3 linked regions of the Lonchura striata genome follow. The protein of the gene in region 2 purifies or fractionates together with the protein of the main gene of each other region. This does not show direct contact. Links are inferred from orthologs where the notes say so. Each region holds a gene or a part of one and is shown on either strand. Other genes may lie near its edges.

The links.
Region 1: the proteins of MAPK9 (region 2) and DUSP16 purify together in Homo sapiens (affinity purification with mass spectrometry; 6 studies listed by BioGRID and IntAct, with this or other methods). This does not show direct contact. The link is inferred for Lonchura striata from reciprocal best matches to the Homo sapiens genes MAPK9 and DUSP16.
Region 3: the proteins of MAPK9 (region 2) and MAPK8IP1 purify together in Homo sapiens (affinity purification with western blotting; 4 studies listed by BioGRID and IntAct, counting the BioPlex papers as one, with this or other methods). This does not show direct contact. The link is inferred for Lonchura striata from reciprocal best matches to the Homo sapiens genes MAPK9 and MAPK8IP1.

The regions. Positions count from the first base shown.
Region 1 is NC_134607.1:10,378,314-10,385,236, forward strand, and holds the start of DUSP16 (dual specificity protein phosphatase 16), read right to left. Parts: upstream 3,001-6,923; 5' UTR 2,921-3,000; intron 2,841-2,920; exon of another isoform or gene 2,618-2,840; intron 2,445-2,617; exon of another isoform or gene 2,324-2,444; intron 1-2,323. UniProt on the Homo sapiens protein: Dual specificity protein phosphatase involved in the inactivation of MAP kinases. Dephosphorylates MAPK10 bound to ARRB2.
Region 2 is NC_134617.1:7,228,135-7,235,474, reverse strand, and holds the start of MAPK9 (mitogen-activated protein kinase 9), read right to left. Parts: upstream 3,002-7,340; 5' UTR 2,877-3,001; intron 1-2,876. Other genes in the region: GFPT2 (glutamine--fructose-6-phosphate aminotransferase [isomerizing] 2), read right to left, coding at 5,259-5,303, 5,903-6,064, 6,495-6,662, 7,302-7,340. UniProt on the Homo sapiens protein: Serine/threonine-protein kinase involved in various processes such as cell proliferation, differentiation, migration, transformation and programmed cell death.
Region 3 is NC_134608.1:38,226,694-38,234,004, reverse strand, and holds the start of MAPK8IP1 (C-Jun-amino-terminal kinase-interacting protein 1), read right to left. Parts: upstream 3,001-7,311; 5' UTR 2,969-3,000; coding exon 2,886-2,968; intron 1-2,885. UniProt on the Homo sapiens protein: The JNK-interacting protein (JIP) group of scaffold proteins selectively mediates JNK signaling by aggregating specific components of the MAPK cascade to form a functional JNK signaling module. Required for JNK activation in response to excitotoxic stress.

The sequences.
Region 1 (6,923 bases), on a different chromosome or scaffold from region 2:
AACACTAGCAATACTCATTTGTACTTATCAGAGTTTAAAATATTCTAGAGAAATCTTCCATGTTGCAACACTCATTCTGAAAACCATCTCTAAGGAATTGTAGGGAAAGTGAATGTACCATTTGACACATTAGGGACACGCTTTCTTCCCTATTACCAAGAAAACCAGCTTCTTGAAAATTCTTAAATAATGAAGGATTCAGCATTACACAACCATGCACAAAATACTACAAGATTGCAAGAAGCATTTAGTCACTATCATAACAACAAATCCATAGGGGCAGATTCAGTGGAGTCACAGACCATGTTTCTTTCAAAGGCTGGAAAAAACATGGAAAAGAAACAGGAAGGGATGTGTCAATCCTTCCATACCTCATCCTTTGACAGTATCTACTCTATGCCATCTGGCTATTAAAGACTGTCAGCACTTGAAGAATATCAATGATGCTTTCCTGACTGCTTCTACAGAAAGGAAAAAGAAATAAAAGTCCTAGAAAATTCAGCTGTTATACTACAAAGTGAAAGCTATCATCCTTCTGCCTCCTTTTTCTTTAGGGGAAAAAATACTTCAGCTGTACTTACTGTATTTCTTAGCAAAATTGCATTTTGAGAACCGAATATTGCTGAATCAGTGTGAGGATTATGGCATTGAACTTTAAAAACCCTGGTGATGGAGCAAAGCCCTCACCCTGCACACACCTCTTACTGCCCAACGTGTTGGAACAGAACTCACTTGGGAGATAAATACAGGTAACAGAAATCAACACTTAACTTGTCTATATGACATTTCTTATGAAGGGCGGCCTTACAAAGAGAGCCTGAATGTAGCCCCTGAGAGCTTTGGAAGGCTTATGTGAATCTCTTATCTGATAGGCAGAGGAGCGACTGGCCCATCTCACACCCAGTTGCCAGTGACTCCATATGATTTCACTGCCCCTATGAGCAGCAGCACAGAGCTCCTTGGCAGAGTCGATCTGCCAAGGAAGGTACACAGGCACAAGGCAGATACAACCACTACTCCTCCCACGGGCTGAGGGCTGGCATCCCGCCGGGGTTGGCTTGGGAGACAGCTCCCAGAGAAATCCATTTAACACATTCCTGCACAGCTTCTGCCGATACCGTCCCCATGGTCAAGCCAAGCTAAAAACAAACACCCCTGCCCAGCCAGCTGTCCTTGCTAGAAGAGGAGCATGCATTTTTACAGAAACCAAGATAACTGAGCCCGCTGTCTTCTACAGAAGCTTTTCTGGTGTGATTTTGTTCCATTACATCTGCTTGTGTAGCTAACAGGTATCTTCATACAACATGTTACATTTTTAAATGCTTGGTTTGTTTTTCTGGACCTTCCCATATGTATTAAACCAAAGCATTTTGAAGCTACCATCTGTAGCACAGGAATTGACACATTCTCTGCTGTTTTTAGGTATTTGTTCATTCTAAAAGGGACTTTTAAATTGTCTGTTAAGATTTACTAAAGCACTATTGTATGAAACAAGCACAACAAGTGGAACATACTACAACTCAGATATTTCTTATAGATTCCATCCTCAAAATATTAACGACCATATTCAGTAAATGCAAGATTTACTTGTGAATATCCTTACTTTTTGTATCTTTTGTCATTAAACATGAAAGCTAAAAATACATGTACACCTCCCTACTGCATACTTCGGTCCACATTCAAACAGAAACTCCCAGACAACATAAACAACTGTGTTTCAATCTCCAATGAGCAGTGGGATGAACACTATAAAAAGAAATTAAGACTTACTATTTTTCCACCTCCTCTCAAAACACAAGAGTCTAAACCAACTCCTGTTTGGTCAGTTGTGACTTTGTAAACTCTGTATCTAACAAACCACACACTTCCAGGAATAGCATAAATCTCAGAGCAAGGATTACAAAATCATTCTTGGGTTTTGGTTGGGATTTTCTCTTTTAAGAACCCCAACAAACGTCCCTGCAAAGAGAAGCAGTTCAATCTGCTTTTATGTTTCAAAACTACAACAGATCTATTTATTCTGCTAGGTATACACTGAATGTTTGAACAGAAAAATTAGTCATTGGTCAGACAATATAGCTCGCTATCACTACACCCTTCATTTGAAGGAGAACCAAAGAAATTTATTTTATATTTCAACCAGCTGAAATGATGGTAAATTCTCCTGGGTTTCCTTTTCTTAAAAAATAAAAATTAAAATATTTTTTTAAAAAAAAATTAAAAATCCCAGCTTCTCATCTGGCATACAACCAAATGTTTTTTAGCCGCTGAAAAATCCTGCTATTGGTCAGGCTCGGCAATAGGCACATCCTATACACCTGGTGATGCGCGCTCAGCCCCGCATCCCGGGCCGGAGTCGGGGCACATAAGCCGGGAGCGGGGATCAGTCAGGCCTCTTCCCGGCGCCAGCCCCGGGCTGGGAGCTCAGGCGAGCGCGATGCCAGGTTAACAATTTGCCTCCCTCCTGGACGCCGCGGCAGCCCTCCATTTTGTCAGTCGCCTCAATTTAAACGCTTTCCAAGGCGAAGGCAGAACTTCAGCATTTCTTCGGGAGCCCTCCGGGGCTTTAAAGCATCCTTAAGCGTTTTGCGCAGCGCGCTCGGAGCCAGCGCTCCAGGCTAAGTCTAGCAGGGTGGCCGCGCACGCCGCGGCTCACGGGCAGCGCCGAGCCCCCCGCGGGCTCCTTCCCATCGCTTCTCCCGGCGGCGCCTCCTCCCGCCCCGCGCTCCGGCGGCGCCCGGCTTCCTCCCCGCACGGGGAGAGGCAGGTGGATGTCGGGAGGAGGACAGGGAAGGGACGGGGGGCAGGAGCCGCCGCGGGCAGCAGGGTGCCGGCAGCAGGTAGGGAGGGCAGCGCGGGGCGGCCGCCGGTGCCGTGCGGTGTCTGTGCCGTTCCCCCTCCCTCCGGCCCCCGTTCTTACCGCCTGCGGAGGCGGCCGGAGCCCGCCCGGGCCGGGGCAGCGACCTGTCCACTGCGGGCGCTCTCCTCCGGAGGTGAGGGGGCGGCGGGGAAGGGCATGGGGAGGAGGGAGGGAGGGCTCCCGCCGCCCGCCTCTCCCTCACCTCCCTCCCCCTCCTCCCCGCCCAGCCCGGCCCGGCCCGGCCGGGCCCCCCCGCGCCCCTCGCCTCCCTCCCGGCTTGGCTTCCCCGGTGCGGCCCTGGATCGGGGTCCCCCTGCGCTGCTCCGGCACTTACTGTGTCACCCCTGCCAGTCTGGCTGCCTGTCCCCTCGGCAAGGATAAAATCAATTGCCCACCAGCCTCGCCGCTGCTGCCCGAAACAACTTTGTCTTCTTCCAGTCCCTGGGAAAGTGCCTCTTTTTCCTACTTCTTCAATGGGGGGGGGGGGGGGGGGGGGGGGGGGGGAACCCAAAGAAAAAAAGGCCCTCCCAAAAACAACAACCAAGCCCCAGCAAATTTAAAAATTAGAAAAGAAAAAATATATTGGGTTTTTTTGTTTTTTTTAAAGGGTGGGAAGCGTGAAAGTGGGAGGGGAGAGGAGAAGAAAAAGGAAATATTTGGGGCTTTGGAACTCTCTTTTCCCTCTCTTTCCCCAAGATGGCTTGAAAAAATTCAAAAGGGACAGTAATAAGGGGGACACACAGAGAGAAAAGCTCGGGAGGACGGAAAAAGTTTGGGGGGTTGGGGTTTTTTGTGCGCGCGTTTGGTCTTTGTGTTTGGGGTTATTGGTTTGGTTTTGTTTTTAAGCCTTAGGATCCCAGAATGACAGAAGCGACTACAAACACTCGGGAAGAGCAAGCACAAGGAGAGGAACGAGCGAGAGAAAAGAGTTTTGCTGGTCCGTAAACTTCAAGCTGCTGGGATGAGGTCATTGGTGTAAATATAAAGCGATGGCGTCATTTGAAACCAATCACAGTGAATGAACTCAGCCGGAGGGTGAAGGTGGGGGGAGAGGGTGAAGGAGAAAGAGGAGGAGCAGTGAGAGAGGATCCCGGCGGCGGGAGGCGATGGCGGGGGCCGGATGGGGGTTATCTCACTTTCCGCAGCCTGCTGCCCGGCTGCCGCGGCCCCTGGGAGGAGCGCGGCCGCGGAGCGATTCAACCGAGCCGCCCCGCGGCCCTCGCCCCGCTCCGGCTTCTCCACAGGGCCCCCCCGGCCCGCCGCCCCTTCCCCGCTCGGCCCGGAGCCCGCCGGGCCGGTGGCGCCTCGCAGCGCCTCGGGCCCGCAGCCTTGTCCGCTCGGCCATCCCTCTCCTCGCCCTCTCCTCCCTGAACCAGCTGAGGGGGCATCCGTAAATACCGCCCTGGCCTTTGCTTTTGCAGTGTGCCGCTGTGCATTGCGGTGTAGAACCACCTGGGTGTGAAGGGTCACATCCTCCTGTGGTAGTGTTACTGGATGACACAACCACAGTGTTTGAGGGAAGGGAAAGGAACTTAAAGTCATCCAGTTCCAACCCCTGTCACTGAGGTGGGCAGAGCACCCTCTGGGTCATGTGGAACACTGGGGGCCTTTGACCTTTAAATAACCTTAAATAAATTTAAAAATCTGAAGCCATACAGTGAAAATTTATGCAGATCCACACAAGTACATGTTACTTTTGCCTGACATGTATCTGTTATGGCTACTACCAAGCCTAACTGGTAAAGTACATCCTTCAGGGGCTGCATGGGTCCTACCTGTCGTGCATCCCTCTTCCAGGCATGACAGAATCTTCTGGTCCTCTTTCTTCCTTAGAAGCATCATTACTATGATGGCACGTTACCTGCTGGCGCTGCAGGACATGCAGGACAGCTTGCACACCAGAATTCAAACTCCATCACCTCTGACAGTTTTGAATCCCTGTGCCAGAAACCCTTGGAAGACAGCATGAGAAAGAGGATTAACTGCATAGGTCCTTATGTTCTTGGTGGCTGTCTCTTCCAAAGTGCCGTTGGAAAAGCACATAGCTGTCGCTCACAGTAAAATGGTTTGGGTGTTTGGTGTTTCAGGAAGAAGGTAACTCAATACATTATATGGGGGGAGAGGGGGCTCTGTGCTGTCAATATTGACCAAGAACCACCTTGATGATGCCCTCGTGCTAAGGAGTTGTGAGCTATCTCATAACAACACTTTGTTGGCATCTGTACTGAACTCCTGTGTGAGGGAGTGCAGAGCATGCAGGCAAGAGAGAAGCCCAAGCTCCACAGAAGAGACAAAATATCAAAAGCAGTGAAGAAATTATAGTAAAGCAATTAACATTGGGATGTTCACTGTTTTGCACGTATCCTTTTCCAGTAGCTGAAAAGCAGTTTTGCCCTTCCGTCTCAATAAAGCAGTGGTCCCAAAGATGCCTTTCTCAAACCCCAAAAGTGCCCACAGCATTAAAAATCTGCACAATTAACTGCTGATTAATGGAGCTAGAAGTGACCCATTTTGACAAAGGGGATCAGAGAGGGTGCCAGAGAAACTGGAGGTGACAGCCAGTGCCCCAGCTCTTTCATTCCAGAAAATTGCAGGAACAAATAGTTCCAGCATGGTTATCCTCACAAAGAGAAGTGGGGAGCAGTGGTGAGAGCTGCATGGTGAGGAGGAAAGACATTTCAATTCTCTCTTCCCTTTTCTCATCTCAACTCACTAGCACCATATGTAACAGGTTTAGGTTTTGTTTAAATTGTGGGACTGTGAAAAATTCCTGACTGTAAAGCTGTAACAATAAGAATTACTTGGGATATTTTGAAAATATTTTTCTTTTTAGCTAAAAAAAGATATATGCAGAAAAGTTTGTACTAGAACAGCAAATGAAAGCTTTTTCAGTATAGAGTCAGGATTTTTATTTTCCTAATGTAATAAAAGATGTGACAAAACCAGTGGCATCACAATTAATTCCTGCACATTGAAATTATTACTAAGAATAACTTTTTCTTTTCAGCCAGGCTTGAGGTAAAAATCTGATCTGGGAGAACATTGCAGAGTGAAACTGGACAGATTCATTGCTAACCTGAAGACAAAGCAGGAGTCAGGAAGACTCAAAGACAGCAGCATCAGACCTCTCTTCACTGAGAGTAGGAGCTGTATCCTTTGCCTCCTGTTTGCAGTGGCCAAACTGTGAATGTGTTGGCAGCTGACATCCCTCAGCTGGCCAGGGCCACTTCTGTAGGAGCAGAAACGCCTTTGCATGTCAGAGTCTTAACATCACTTAACTCTTTTTTTCCCCCTCTGAGAGCCTTTCATTCCTCTCTACCACTTGTGCAGCAAGCTCCTGGAAATGATCTGAACTGCAGGTGCAAACCAGGAGAGTGTCTTTGGCAACCCCCTGAACCATCTGGGAGAGAGAGTGCCTGGCTTTGCTGGTGTCCCTGGCTGCTGACCTCTCATTCCCAAGTTTTTAAAGTCTGTCAAGTCTGAAATGTATTTTGCTACACTTCTGGTGATGGACTTTTTGGCCTAAGTTCACTGTTTGTTTTTGAGAAAATGGTACTGAAAGAGTTAAGGTTAACATTCCTGTCTTGTGCCTCCTTATGAGGCTTATGAGATAAGAAGTGTCTATATGGGGTAAAACAAGGGCAAAAGATATTGTGGTGGCTATCCAACCAGCTATGCAACAGCCCTTGAACTTTGACACTCCCCCCTGTCCTACCTGTTCAAGCCTCACTTCTGGCAGGAGTGCCTGCAAGTGTGTCACCCCTCACTGCTCCTGTTCTTGGGGGCCAGGGAGAGGAAATAGCTGGCTAATTTCAAGAGAAGGTCATGCACCTTGTTTACAAAGGTTTCTCTTTCTTTATTACTAAAAGCTAGTGCAGCTTCTTGTTCCTTTTCCAGCTAATGGATTTTGTGGCACTTCATTTGGTTAATCAGTTAGCAGTGATTAAACAGGAGAAAGATAAATGACAGCCTGAGTAACGTCATCATGATTTCTGTGTGGTGGAAAGGAGTGGTTTGCCAGGGAAACATCTTGCGAAATAAGTGAGAATTGAACTATAAGCAG
Region 2 (7,340 bases):
TTTTCCTGGGTGTCCATCCCTCTTCCAAACCTTACAAGTAAATTACCTCAGTAATTGCTGAAGAGCTCTCTAACAAATTCTCCCCTTCATAATTTTGCATTCACTATGACAGATAGTGCCATTAGAGCCCAGAGTGATTTGCACAGGCAAATCACTTGAAACTTGTTCCTTAAAACAGGAAATGCAAGCAGCCCCTTCCCCCGGAGCATCTGTGCTCTGTGCTGTCTGCTTTGGTTACTGGAAGAGCTCTCTTCACTGGCCCCACCGAGTATCTGTGAGCCAATGCAAAACAGAAAAGCCTCGAGGACAACCCAGACACCCACCCTAGAAGGGCACAAAGCCACACAAATAACACTTAGTTCCTTCAAAAATTAGGATTTCTGTCTTCCTCAGTGCATGTAGGAGGCAGCAGCATCTTTTCCATGTTTTAAGTGAGCTGATGAACTCAAGGAATCTGCAGTAAAATACGAGGAAGACCTCCAAGACCTAATAAAGACTGAGTTTAAACCAAACTGTAATAGTTTTAAGAGATTCTCAAGAAATGTCTAGAGTCCCTTTTACCTTCTAGTTTCTCAAAATCTCTGCAGCATTTTAAGAGGCAGACATTCAACTGGGTCATCTCCGGCAATAATTTAGACAGTCAGTTTACCTGACATTTCCTCTTAGAAGCTTTAGGAAAAAAGCAGAGGAGAAAGGATCAGCAAAGGGAGAATGTGGGCTACCAACTTTCTGCTCTGTCACAGGGAGAAGGAGGAAGAAAACAGTATCTCCTACACAATAATATTAGAGGCAGTCAGATGCAGCTCCACAGCCAGCTAGCACTAACATGAGACCACAGGATGCCTCAAGGGCAGCTCCCAGACTTTCCTGGTACATCACACCCTTCCTTCCAACCCTTTTCATTACTCCACAGCTATGCACTCTGAGGTACCAAGTGTTTTGATTAATAGTTCCTAGGCACCTATGGTATTTTCACTGAATCTTCAATATTGTAAGAAAAGTACAGCTGGAAGGTCAAGATCCTCCTCTGCAAGGACTTAAGAGACAAAACCAAAAAAGTACAGATACCAAGTTACAGGATATCAACTTCTTAGCTACACAAGAACAATGCTGTACCTCTTCAGGAATTAATGAAAAAAATTTCTGTAACAGGGACAAAGAAATATGGGAAAACAAAATTATCCTGATCCTGAAAAACTCTTCCCTTTAAGAATCACTGTCTGCACAAAGCCACCTTGCAAAAATCACTTGGAGATGAGCATAAGCTCCTTAGAAAAGCCCCAAAGAGAGAAATGGGATATCAGAACACTCAAGTTTTATGTATTTGAACACATTTACAATTCTCTTTGCAAAGCAGCTCTCCATGAGTCTTGACTTTCACTCAGGCTTCAAGTTGGCTGGAATGCATCAGGACATATATTACTTCAGACGTACCCACTACTGTAAAATTAGCTGCCATGCAATTGTAGCTGTTCACAGCACTTCAGACAATCCATTCTGGGGGCAAGACCCACAAATAAAAATAGATTTCCTGCTGTGCAAATAAGAAGTATATCTGTCAAATAAGTTTCTTAGTATTTACCTGTTATTCTCCTTCTAGAAAAATAACCAACACACCAAACCTGCCAGTAGTAGGCTTATACACAATTGCAGTGAGAAATCTTTAGAAGCTGGAAGCAACTGCATTACAGAATGCATCCTGCATTAAACAGATACTTCCCTAAAATGTATTTATTAAAATGGCAATTTATTATTAACCAGATTTGTACTCTGGATATCTTCAAGTCAAAAGTTTATGAAACAGACTGGGCACACATTCCCAGGGCTGTTTTGGTTACAGAAATGTTATACTGACAACAAAACACAAGAACAACATGAAGCTTGCCTGGATTTTTAAGCCTCAAGCTAAAATTCTACTGCTGACAATATTCACAATGAATAGATATACACACACACGTGTATTTATGAAAACATATGGAAAAATCTCCCCCCATTCTCTTATTGACCTTTGCTAAAGCATTTCTAATTCAGGTGTGCCCTTTTAAGTTTTATCACCCAATAGCATCAAGGGTTTTTTTTTAATTTTTACAGCAGTATATATCAAAAGGAAATAGTCCAACTACAAAATCACAGTGAGCTAGACCTCATTCCTCTACTGACTCTTTAGAACGAAAGTGTAACAAAGCACTAGCTGGGTAACCCCCAAGGATTACAGCAGTTCAGAGACAGTTTGCAACTGAAAACTCTTGGAAAGTAGACCTTTTTCTTTAAGCAGCCCACATTACTACTGGCCAAACGAAGATTTCACCACTACCTGTTACAGTGAATAGCATTCAGCTATTACACACAGACGCACTGAAAGGATCTCAGAACTCTGCCAGGGCAAGCTGGTGTAAAGAGAGAAAAAGTTTAAACATGCATGTGCTGCAAGCAATTTCGCCGTTCATGTAGGAAGCGAGCAGGAAGATTCTTCCCGCATCTTTCCTAAAACTTCTGCTAAGAAATCGCTACGGCTGCAGAGAGCCCGGGCTGGCCGCGGCCGCGGGACCCGCGGCGCTCGGCGCTGCTGCGCTCCGGGACGGGGCTCCGGGGCCGCCGAGCCGGGCACGGCACGGAGGACGGGGCAGCAGGACGGGCAGAGGCGGCCCCGCGGGGCCGGGCCTGCGGCTCGGGGAAGGCGGGGATCGGCCGCAGGAGGAAGGGCCCGGCCCTGCCGCTGCCCCGCGTCCCTGCAGCGCGCCCGGGCCCGGGCAGCGGCCCGCGGGGCGCCCCGGCTCTGCCCGCGCCGCGGGACGAGCCGAGCGCTCCGTCCGGCGCAGGGCTCGTCCCGCCCCGGCCCCGCCGCCCCAGCACGCCCCTCGCGGCCGCCCCCTCACCTGGGTCGGACGCGGCGGGACCGGCCCCAGCCGCCGCCTCCCGCTGCCCCAGCCACAATGGCCTCCCGGCGCTCCGCACGGCGCCGCCCCTGACTGACAGCCGCCCCGGCCAATCGCAGCTCCCGCCGGAGAAGCTCAGCCAATCGCGCTTGGGGGTGGATCTTACTGACCACTATATAAGGCAGGGCGCTGAAGGACCGCAGTGACGGGGCAGTTCGGCCCCCGCCCCCGGCGGGGTGTCGCTGCGTGATGTCACCGTTTCTCGATTGCCATGATGTCATGCATGACGTCATGGCGCCACGGGAGTTATGTCACCGCCTGACGTCAGCCTGTCACGATAGTCGTGATGTCACCTGACAGCAGTGCTGTGGCGCCCATCCTGCTGCCGGCTCCTCACTGCTCCGGCAGGCCGGCAGAAGCCGTGGCTGAGGCGAACCCTGCCCTGCACAAGCACCCCAGAGTGGCAGCGGTGGCATGGCCCGGTGGCAGCGGTGACATTCCCGGTGGCAGCGGTGACATTCCCGGTGGCAGCGGTGGCATGGCCCAGTGGCAGCGGTGACATTCCCGGTGGCACCTGGCACCCCGGCACAGCGCACCACAGCAGGCCCGACCCCGGGGCTGCCATAGCCCTGCAGCACAGCCTCCCCTCAGCTTTTCCCGAGGGATGGCTCCGGAGGGAAGGGATTCATTCCCTCCCGGAGCTATTTTCAACCCCACGCAAAAATCAGAAGCCTTCTCTCCATTACGTACCCCCCGCCCCGACACGAGGAGTGCTTGTTTTTAAAACAGGTGCTGCCTAAAAATAAACTCAATTTGCCACCTCTCCTAGGACTGATGAGCGCTTTCATTTCTGTGATTTCTGTTCCCACAGATGATTTTAGAAAAATGTACCTGTAATTTTTTAAATAAATCAATTTAATGTCACAAATAGACCAGATGACCTCAATATGCCTTTATAGTTCCACTTTTTAATATGAAGAGAATATTACTTCTAGATCAAGAGTAAAACAGGCCTTTTCATGCCAAAACATGTTAGATACAGAGTTACATATTCTTGGCATTTAGGTCACATTAGTAGTATATTTTTTGTTATGATTTTGGTTTTATTATTGTTATTAAAAGTACTAGGGAAAGTATATCCTATTATAATAAGCTAGTGTAACACTTTCAAGCTCTTAAGTAAACATTCAAACACTTTTTCCATTTAGAGCCAAGCCTGCAGAGGAATATCATAAACTTTACTGTTAAACTAACTTTACATTTTAGTTAATAAAATGAAGAAAAATTAAATACTATGCCTTCTGGCCATTTAGAAATAAAAACTAAACAAATGAGCAGAGAACTTATTGTGTGTATCTGCCTTTTTTTTTTTTTTGCAGGTTTATAGGTTCTTCACTACTGCAAGTTGGTTCACAACTATCAGTGTGTTTTTGCACATCTATATGCTACTAAAATAGGACTTTCTTCAGACTTGAGATAAAGGTCATCAAGTTTAAAAAAAAAACAAAAATGAAATAAATAAAAACCCAAACACACATACACACACAAAGAAACAAACCACAAAGTAAGAAGAATTATATAATCTTTTAATTGCATTGTCATTTCATTGTACCCTCTTCAAACAAAAATATCACTTGAGAGACATCCAGTTCCCTTATTCTGTTGCAGTATACATGTTATGCAAATAAAAGCTAGGGTGGCATACAAAACAAATGTCGTTCTGACTTTTCAGAACAGTTAAAAGAAGCAGAAATTGAAAACATAGCTGGGAATTTACAGCCACAGAAGAACTTTGCAAATGACTTTTTAAATATGAAACACAGATTCAATGGGGGAAGGGAAGCTGGGAAAGAAGAGGGGACAACAAATTTCCAGTTTGAGGCTGAAGGAGGAAAATCCCTAATAACTGTACAGAAGTATCAACACGCTCAGTGTTTACATTCTGAGCATTACCAATGTTACAGATAAGCAATGTACTAAAAAAATAACTTAAAAAAGCTATACAAATTGTACTTATAAATACTATATCTTTGAAACTAGTTATGTAGTGTGGGCTAAAAAAATGTTCACAGTTACTCTGGAGAGAGCTGTATATATATATATATATTGCACAGTAAAAAAGTTCATTCAGTATACCATGTGTAAACAACTTTTATCTTCTTTGGTAATTTCAGGACTTAGAGGAGTATTTGGTGGGAGCAAAAGCACTTGGGTACAAGGCACATCAAAAGCTTTTAAAGCTGCAAGATAAATCCTTCTGACACTTTCCAGTTAGCACTATCATTCTCTTTAGAAAAAACATTTACCTATCAATTCAGAACAACACATTATACAAGTATAACTCAGAGGTCTGGTGACAAAGACATCAGCTGTTCTTGGCTGTCACTCTACAGTAACAGATTTGGCCAAATTTCTTGGAAAGTCCACCTGGAATGAAGAGACAGTCTTTCAGTATGACAGAGTAATACTGGCATTCTGCATTTGAAAGTTCCTTCAGTGTGATTTTTCTGACTTCCTAATGAGTTCTGTTTGATTCTATACACATTAACACACACAGCAGGCTATTGATCTGCAGGTAATGACTTGCAGCTGAATTCATCTGTGCTTCCAAAACCCTCCTAACAAAAACATATTCGTTTTGCATAGGATACCTTTCCAAAGCAGTCATCATTGTCAAACTGACACATCAACAAACCAAGGTGTACAAAGCACTGACCTATTTTAAGTTAAAGTACAATATCGCATTTCAAGATTAGGTTCCCTGGAAAAGTCCCATTTGCACTCTTAACTAACCAAACAGCTAAAGAGCTTTGCAATTTTTTAGAAGGATACTAATTGAAAAAGACAAAATGGAAGAATTGGCACTGAAATGTCACCTCTATAAGCACACTCACTATGAGATTCACTAGCTGTTTTCATAGCTAGTAAATCTTAGATATGCCATATAACTGTGTCTGTCAATTTATACTGGTAGAAGGAAATTCAAAACTGCACTAAAACAAGTGTTAAATATAGAAAACACTTACATCATATCCTCTGAGAACAGCCAGGTGAAATGAAAGTAACTGTAGAGGAATGACACTCAACACTCCTTGAAGGCAGTCAACTGTATGAGGCAGCTCAATAGTTTTGTAGGCAAATTTTGAGCTTTCAGTATCTTCTTTAGAACACAGAATGATTGGGCGACCCTGAAAATAAATTTTTGCATTGTTAAGTGAAGAGCTAGCCTAGAATTGCTTTGAAATATTGTTCACAGCATGCCTGTATGTGTTTGAAGACATTCAAGTAGCTAACAAAGGCAATGCCAGTCTTGCATAATGACTCTTGACTTTCCCTATATTGTAAGATTTGAATGTTTTCACCCTGTAGAGATTTAACATTATTCCATTTGCTTCAAAACAAAAAAACCCCAAAACAAACAAGCCATCTGAAAGCAGTTTTCACTGCTGATATTAACCTGTAATAAAAACCTTCAATGCAGATGTAGCATCTTATTTATAACTTAATAATTAACAATAATCAGCAGTACATCCCTTTCCAGGTGCACAGTCAGCAGCAGTGCAGTGGGCACAATCTCTTTTCCTATGACACAGGAGAAGTTAATTAGTTGAACACTACCTGCCGAGCAGTGATCTGTTGCAGAGCATTCTGGCACTTGGTGAAACAAGGATCCTTCATGATCACCATGATAACAGGCATTTGTTTATCTATTAGGGCCAAAGGCCCATGTTTCAGCTCACCAGCCAAGATACCTTCTGAGTGCATATAGGTGATTTCTTTTATTTTCTAGGAAAAAAAAAAAAAGCCTCAAATTATTACTAAATCAGCTGAGAAACAAGAGCCACAAAAATCAAAACACCCAGACTGTACCGCTGCCACTTAAATTCATGTACCCAGCATCAAGCATTAGTGAAAGCACACGGGTGGCTGCTGGGGTTTGTAGCAGGCTGTGGCCAGCAGCAGAGCTCGCCCATGCACATGGAGTAACCAACAAGGAATTTTAGGAACCAAACACCCAGCACAACCTTGGCTACTGCAGTCTACCTTTAACACACCAAACTCCTCTGAGTGATGGGTATGTGTCCATTTTACCAGTGTTCATAACATAATTAATGAGTTTCATGCATGAGCATCTCTTCTCAACATCAGCACACTGTTTCTGATGTTTTCAAATGGGTCAGCAACTTAAATTGCTAGTTTCCTGATTTTAAATAGACTAATTAAACACCGTGTTTATTATGTGAAAGAAACAAGAAAGTGGTATCACATCCAGGTTCACCTTATGTGTATGTTTAAATACTTCTAGTTATAAATAGTTTTATTGCAGTAGAATTAAATTGTAATGAAATAATAGAAATAACCTATTTTGCAGAATCCACAAAATATTATTTTAAATAATATCAAAGAATATTGAGAAGTTCCTACCAAAGCTCCTTCCAGACATGTGGCGTAATTATACCCACG
Region 3 (7,311 bases), on a different chromosome or scaffold from region 2:
CTCTCCCTCCTTCAGAGGAAGACAACCCTTCCATCTCCCCTCAGAAGAAGACAGGGAGCCCCATTCCAACGCCCAGCTCATTCATTGCCTCCAAACAGGCTTTGCTGACAGCTCCAGATGAGCACGACAGACACATAAAACAAACCACAGAACTAAACTGATTTTTGCCTCAGCCCGAAGGTGCATCTTTGAACTTCCCGACAAGACGGAGAGAACTTCTTCTCTCAGAGAGCCCCTCCCTTCCCAAAGGGCTGTGATTTCTGACAGCACTCCCTGAGTAGTAGAGTAGTTTCCCTCTCTCCTGACCTATGGAAATAACTCCCCAAGGGTTTCTTCCCCTAGGTGTCCTCCTACCCAGTAGCTAGGTGGATGCCCTTTACTTTTATCAGGGAAAGCTGAAGGAGATAAGAGGGGATCAGTCAGTGACCCCTCCCAGGTTCCATCTACATTAAAGCCACAGTCCTGGGGACAGTGGGACAGGCAACACTGTGAGCTCTGCATCCAGCTTCACCCCAGTTGTGCCAGTCCTCCCTGTCCCTCTAATGCTGGGTAGAGGGACCCCTAACCCAGAGAGGCTCCAGAAAGCCCCTCACAGGAAAGCCTGCCACAAAGCACAGCCAAAGCTTCTTAGCAGGGCAAGGAGCTGCAACACCGTTTCCCAGAGAAAGATGTTACGGAGCTCCAGTGAACACAGACCACACTGCAAGGCTTTGAGAAGCTTAAGGGAGGATGGATGAGAATGATTTTTGTAATTGCTGTCTCCTAAAATGGTGTTATTCTCATTGTGATGAACAGATACCTCTGGAGGACCTCCTGGCTAAAGGAGGGATTATCTCACCATCCTTTTCCTCCCACTTCTTCTCAGACAACACAAAACCATCACTGCCAGGCCACTATGCCTGGTCTCTTCAATGCTTCAGTCTGCTTGCTGGCCAGGACCAAGCCCTCTCTCAATTCAAGCCAACTGATCACCTAATGCTTGGACTGGCATGTCACCACTCAGAGCTGGGAGTGCAGATGCATGTACCAAAGGGCAGAAATCTGAAACACCTCATCCTGCAGGCAGCAGGCAGGGGCAGAGGGCAGTGCTCACCTCACTGCCAGCCATGGTCTGAGCCTTCACTCTGAACCGCATTCATCGCTGCTGGGTCCAGCTCATCCGCGGGGAACAGCCCCTCGCTGAGCCCTGCAGCAGGGATGCAGGACCTGGGACATGCACAAGCCATGCTGTGACACATAACCCAGCTTCTGAAACACAAGCACGGCTCCCTTCTCGCACGACACTCCCCACCACAACATCACCTCTGATCTGCCATACCCTGCCCCAGGCTCAGACACATCACTGCATTTACTTCCACTTACACCCTGAGCTTGGTGCCCGGGGAAGATTTTGCACTCCTGCCTTGACTCCTCAGTTTTCCACCCAGCTGCACAGCATCCTTCACGAGGTCAGTTCTTCCCTGGAGCAGGCTGGCAGCACACGGGGCTCCTTTTCCAAAGATCTGAGGCCCAGCCAGAAGCAGCAGCTCATTCTCCCTCCGAGGGCATGGCTGTTTGCTGGGGAGCAGGAGGATGCCGAGGGCACAGCCGCTACCTCCAGGACAGCAGGCGGCAGGCCCAGAGCTGCTCGGCAGCTCAGCCTCCAGCCCCTGGCTCAGTGGCCAAGCCCCTTCTCCATGGTGGATGATTCCAGAGGCAGTGTTTAATCGCTGGCTTTGCAGGGTACACCAGCCATGTTGCAACAGCTCCCAGCAGCTCTCGCAGGCAGCGCTGCAATAGGAGGCAGCTGCCAAAGACCCGGAGCCACCAGCAACGGGGGTCCAGAAGCACAGCCCTTCAAATATTAATTGCCTGAGCACTACCTTTGCTCGACTGCACCCATCTGTTTCCTCTCAGGGACCCATGGGTTCCCCAGCCTCAGGGGCTGGGCCTGACAGAGGAGGGCATGATCTTAGCTGTGGTCCCAGGTGAGGACCATCCTCTCCTTTCCACCCAAAATCTCAGCACGCAAGGCAGCTGGTACCATTCCCCTTTTTTCAGGCAGCTCCCCCCAGCACCCCTGTGTGGCAGAGGCAAGCAGAGAGCAATGGCTGACGAGGGCACAGCTGCCAGGAGCAGCGAGCCTCCCCTTATGGCAAGTGAACACCGCACCTGCAGGCAGGGGCAGGGCTCCTCCCTTACCTACCCAGCACATCCGTGTGCCAGAGCTACCCTTAGCAGGCACCAGAGGCTCCAAAACCCACAGGCATCTCTGGCCTGGCCCACGCCATCGGAAGTCCCTGTGACAAGCCTCATTGGGTTTCAGAGGAGACACAGCCCCCTGCATCCCAAATCGATGGGAGCACTTGGTATTGCTAAGAGGATCAATTCTGGCACTCTCCCACCGTCTCACTTGGGGTTCCTGTTTCACAGGGGTAGCAAGGAAGCAGAAGCACCTGGGATTTCTAGGAAAGGGCTGGGAAAAGGCTTTTCTTGGGGAGGGGAGAGAGATGAAGCTTTTTTCTTCCATGAGGAAGAGGTGCTGGAAGAGGAGATGAGACAGGTAAGGAGGCGGGATGGGGTGCGAGGGGACACGAGGGCAAGCAGGGGGCTGGGAAGCTGCAGTGGTGTATGTGTGGGGTGAGGGCCAACATGGCTTGGGTGGGCGGGCTGAGCAGCCATGGGGGGCTGGAGCGATGTCTGCGGTGGGGTTCAGCGGTGGCTGGGGCGGGGGGCAGAAGGGATGGCCGGGCCGGGGGGCTGCGCGCCGAGGGGGCAGAAGCGCTGGAGGAGGCGGGGGCCGGCGCGACCGTGCGGGCGGGGGCTGCAGCAGATGGGGAGCGCTGCCCCGGGCAGGGGGCAGGGGCAGCCCCGAGAGGGTTCCGCGGGGGGACGGCGGCCGGTACCTGAAATTGGGGGGCGAGGCGAGGTGCAGCCCCAGGAAGGGTGAGGCGGGCGGGGATGCAGCTCCTTTCTCTCGCTCCGCCATTCTGTGGCTCTCTCCATGCAGGCGGAGGGCGGGCGGGAGGGAGGGAGGCAGGGAAGGAGGGATGAAGGGAGGGGGATGCTGGCGGTGCCGGCGGGGAGGGACATACCTGCCGCCGGGCGGGGGGAGCGGGGGCGCGGCCCGGAGGCTCCATCCCGCGGCTCCCGGCGGCAGCTGCAGGACAGGCACGGCACAGATGGAGGCGTCACCTCGCACCCCGACCCCGTCCGCTCCGCCCGGGCCACGGCGAACGCCGGCCCCGGCGGGACAGATGTGCCCGCAGCTGGAGGCTGCACCCTCAAGAGCAGGTGCGAGGGACGGCCGGGGGTCTCCCAAGGCTGGGAGGAGCAACCCCAGGAGCGGGGCCGGCTGGCCGAGTGGGCAGGCAGGAGCCCAGGGCGAGGGGCTGGACACAGGGGCCACTTGCAGGGGTCTCTTCGGCAGCGGGGAGGCGCCTGCAGGCAGCAGGAGCAGCAGGAGCAACCACGCTGCACTTTGGCACCCATGGCATATTTGCCGCACCTGGCAACAGGTCTGGCAGCCCCCGTATAGACCTATCCCTGCAGCAGGGCTGCAAGCACTGCAAAGGGAATTTAAAAAGCAGCATACACATACCTTCCACAGGGACAAAGCAGGGGGGGAAAAATGAATCTTAAGGATTCAGGCCTCTCCTAGAAAGGGCAAACCCATTTTTGTATCTAGCTATGTTCCAAGAAGCATTTTATCTTGGGTGGGTACTCATTGTTGCTACTCTTCCTTACCAGCCTGGGCAGGTTTCTCTTCCCTGCTCTTCTCCCCATGCTTTGCAAGCTCAGAAAACTGTGCTGTGGACAGAAGTGGACAGCATCAGTATTTTTAGATCTCAAGGCTACTTCTGTACCTGAACAGGAGAACTTTCCTTATTCCCTGCATGCCCACTGTGCTGCCAATCTGTGTCTCTGAGAGTCCTGGATGGCATGAGTGGCACTTCTTTAGCAGTTCAAACATCCAGTCCCATCAGTGTTTCTCACACCACAGAGCTGACTGCCATTGAGGTGATGTATTAGTTCTTGGCCAAGACCCAGGATGTCAGCTGCTCCTCCAGAGAAAAGCAGGCAGAGCCCTCCAAGGCATAAGTCCTGCTCTCTCTCAGGAGTCTTAGTCTCCTACCAGACAAACTGGAAAGAGATGTTATTCCTGGACTAGTGTGGAGACAAGCACACACCCCCGGGGTCACCATGTGCAGGTAACCCTGGGGCAGCCTCCTGAGGGCGATCTAAGTGTCCCCTTTGCTGTTTGGATACACAGACTGAACTGTATTACATGCAGGACCCAAGAGACTCACCAGCATTCGTTCCAGGAGCTTTGGGGGAGCTTTGATGTAGCTCCATCTCAAAGCATAAACCCCATCTACCAGAACTGATCTCAGCAGCATGGCTGTTATTTGGCCTCTGACCTGGGGCATAAGGTAAGGATGCTGCCTTGTCCCACAGCCAGATCACCATCACTGCAGCTCACCTTCTGCTTGATTGCCAAGCACCAAAAACTCACCCCTTAGTGACGTGACCTGTAGTCAGGTCACCATCCCTGACTCAGGCTGGCCTGGCAGGAGACCCAAATGGACCTTCCTACCTGCACTACTGTCAGTCAGGCCTATTCCTCGGATGCACAGTCGTGCACACGGCCCCTGGGAGAGTGCATGCACATCTGCTGCAAATTAGGAGATAGCACTTCCATCCCAGCAGTATCTGCCCACAAGGCATTTGCTGATTTTCCTCCTTCAAATTGTCCAATTGACCATCAGGTTCAGTCCAGACCAACTCAGCCTTAAAGGAAACCTGAGGAGAGGTTATGTGCTCAGAGAAGTTTTCCTGCTCCTCGTCCCCAGCTGAACCATCTGATCTCCACCCAGATGCAGCTGTGATACCAGACTCCTCTTTTTCCATCAGCCATCCTTCTTACTGTTCTTTCCCCCTCTGCCTCAAATGGCCACATTTCCAGCTCCACTTCTTCATATCTAGGTGTGTTTTCTATTATCAGACCTTTCAGCCAGCCCCACTTGAAGCCACTCCAGCTCCTTCCTTGTGCAGACAGAAGAGACATGGAAGAAGGGAATTTTCTCAAGCACCAGCACATGGAGCAGGCAGTTCTGCTAAAAATCCAAGGTTAGCCATTTCCAATCCTGAGCCACATCACCATCATTCCTGTGACAGGTAAAACAGGTATCATGGCCAGCACAGACGAGGAGCCTCAAACCCAATCTCTTCAGCTTTAATTTACATTATTCCACTCTGGCTAGAAAAAGCTGGACTGAGTTTACTGTCATTCTGGTTCATCATCTTTTAAGGCATATGCTGATGTTTTCAGAAGGTTTTTGCCATGTGTGAGCCACCCCAAGCACTGAAGTTTTATTTTTCCAAGACCAGAAGATCCTTGCCAGAAACAAGAGAACAATTTAGCAATACCATGAGCTGAGGCACTTCCTTCCTAGATAAGCCCCACTGCTGAACCTTCACAAGGAACTGCATGGCTACATGCACTTCCTAAGTCTTGCTGGTTACTAAGAAAATTAATGTACGTCATGGAACTCTTGCTAAGGTAGAGGTTCCAGCAAGTGCATCGACACAGAAGCACCAAGGAGGATGGCAGGATGCACAAGAACTTGACTCTGTCCTTGCTAATTAGATTGCTAAGTCTAGTGTATTTAATACAAGTTCATTACTTAGCTTAGAAGTCATTAGCCAAGGCTCCATCACTGACGGGAGACCCAAGCTGAACAACTGTTCACAGCTCCGTGGGACTTCTCTGCTCCAGTATCCATGTTTAGTTGAAAGCAGCCTTCACACCACCGTGGGGAGCATCCCAAAGCCACTGCTCTCAGAGCATCAAAAGGCAACTGCTCCCTCTGCCCAAGCAAAGAGCTCACACTACACCCGTGTTAGGGGTGCCTATGTCAGGTCAGGCATTGCCAGCTTGCCCTGAGACACAGAGAACAGAAACCCCTAAACTGGTGTCCATTTCATGCTATTTCTTTACAACAGCCTCCAGCAGTCCCCTGCTGCTTCTGAAACAAAGATGGTCTAATGGTTACTGATGGCTTTTTCTTTCCCCACAAACTGGCCAAATCTTTTTGAACTCAAACTGTTAGCACCCACAACTGAGGAAAAATGTGTCACAAAGCTAAGCAAGGCACAGACTTGTTCAATCTGCCATCTTGTACTTTAACCAAGCATGCCAAATTCTAAGTATCAATGAAAACAATGAACAGTCATTCCCTGCTTGTCACACAGTTTTACCCACCTGTATTATTTCAGCTGGGAAAAGATGCCAAAGTAGATGAATCCCAGCCTATTTACAAGGTTTCTTGAAAGAAGCTTTTCCGTTATCTTTAACTGGTCTGATGCGTGTCATTCCCAGTGCTACTACCTGAGCTGCAGCTCTTCCATATACTACCATCCATATCCCAGGTATTGACAGAAACCTTGCAAATGTGATCTCCCTTGCCTCCACAAAGCCTTCTAGATCACTGAGGAGATGTGGCCTCCCCTCCCTTTGACTCTTTACCCCCACAGATCCAGCCCCAAAAATTCCATTTACCAAATGAAATAATTTGGATGACAGCAAAAAGAGGGTTAAAGACATTTATAAAAAGTTTTATTTACAGACCATTGCCTAAGCATGAAACTCTCAAAATGACAGAAGTCACAATTTCTGTAACCTAGACAAAGTGCACATCTTTCCCCTTTCTTCTTTCTGCAGCAGAAGATGGGGGTAGGGGAGTATCTCTTTTTCTTTATACCCTTCTACCCCCAAGACAATGGGAGTAACAGCTGGGTTAGAGACAAGACCTGTTGATAACTGGGTTATCCACCAGGCAAACTACAAATAGTTTAGAATAAAGTAAGGTTAAGAAAAGTGACTCTTTGTTTACTTGTTCAGTCTGCCCAGTGGATTCTCTGCAGAAAAAGAACGTAAGATCAAAGCCCCAGGGAATGGGAAGGAAAGGTTCTTCAGCTATTCATTAAATTTATTCACAGACTCAATTCAACCACTTCAGGTTTCTCAGGTACATTTGACTCAGTTTCTACTTGCAACCCTGTTGCTCTGGGTTCAAACACAGGCTCCAAAACTGAATCTGATTATCCCAGTGGGAGACAACTCCTGTACTCCCCAAGCAGTTAGTTGCATAAGCTCACATATAGCCCCACACTATCTGTGTCAGGCAGGGATGAAAGGTTTTGGACAGCAAATGAAAACAGTGCCAACAGCAGCCCATTGCACGGGATGAGCTACTCAATCTGATTCCTCTTGTAAACAGCCTCAAGAGAGAATCTCCTGCAGTACCACCCTCCCTTGCACTCTCTGGT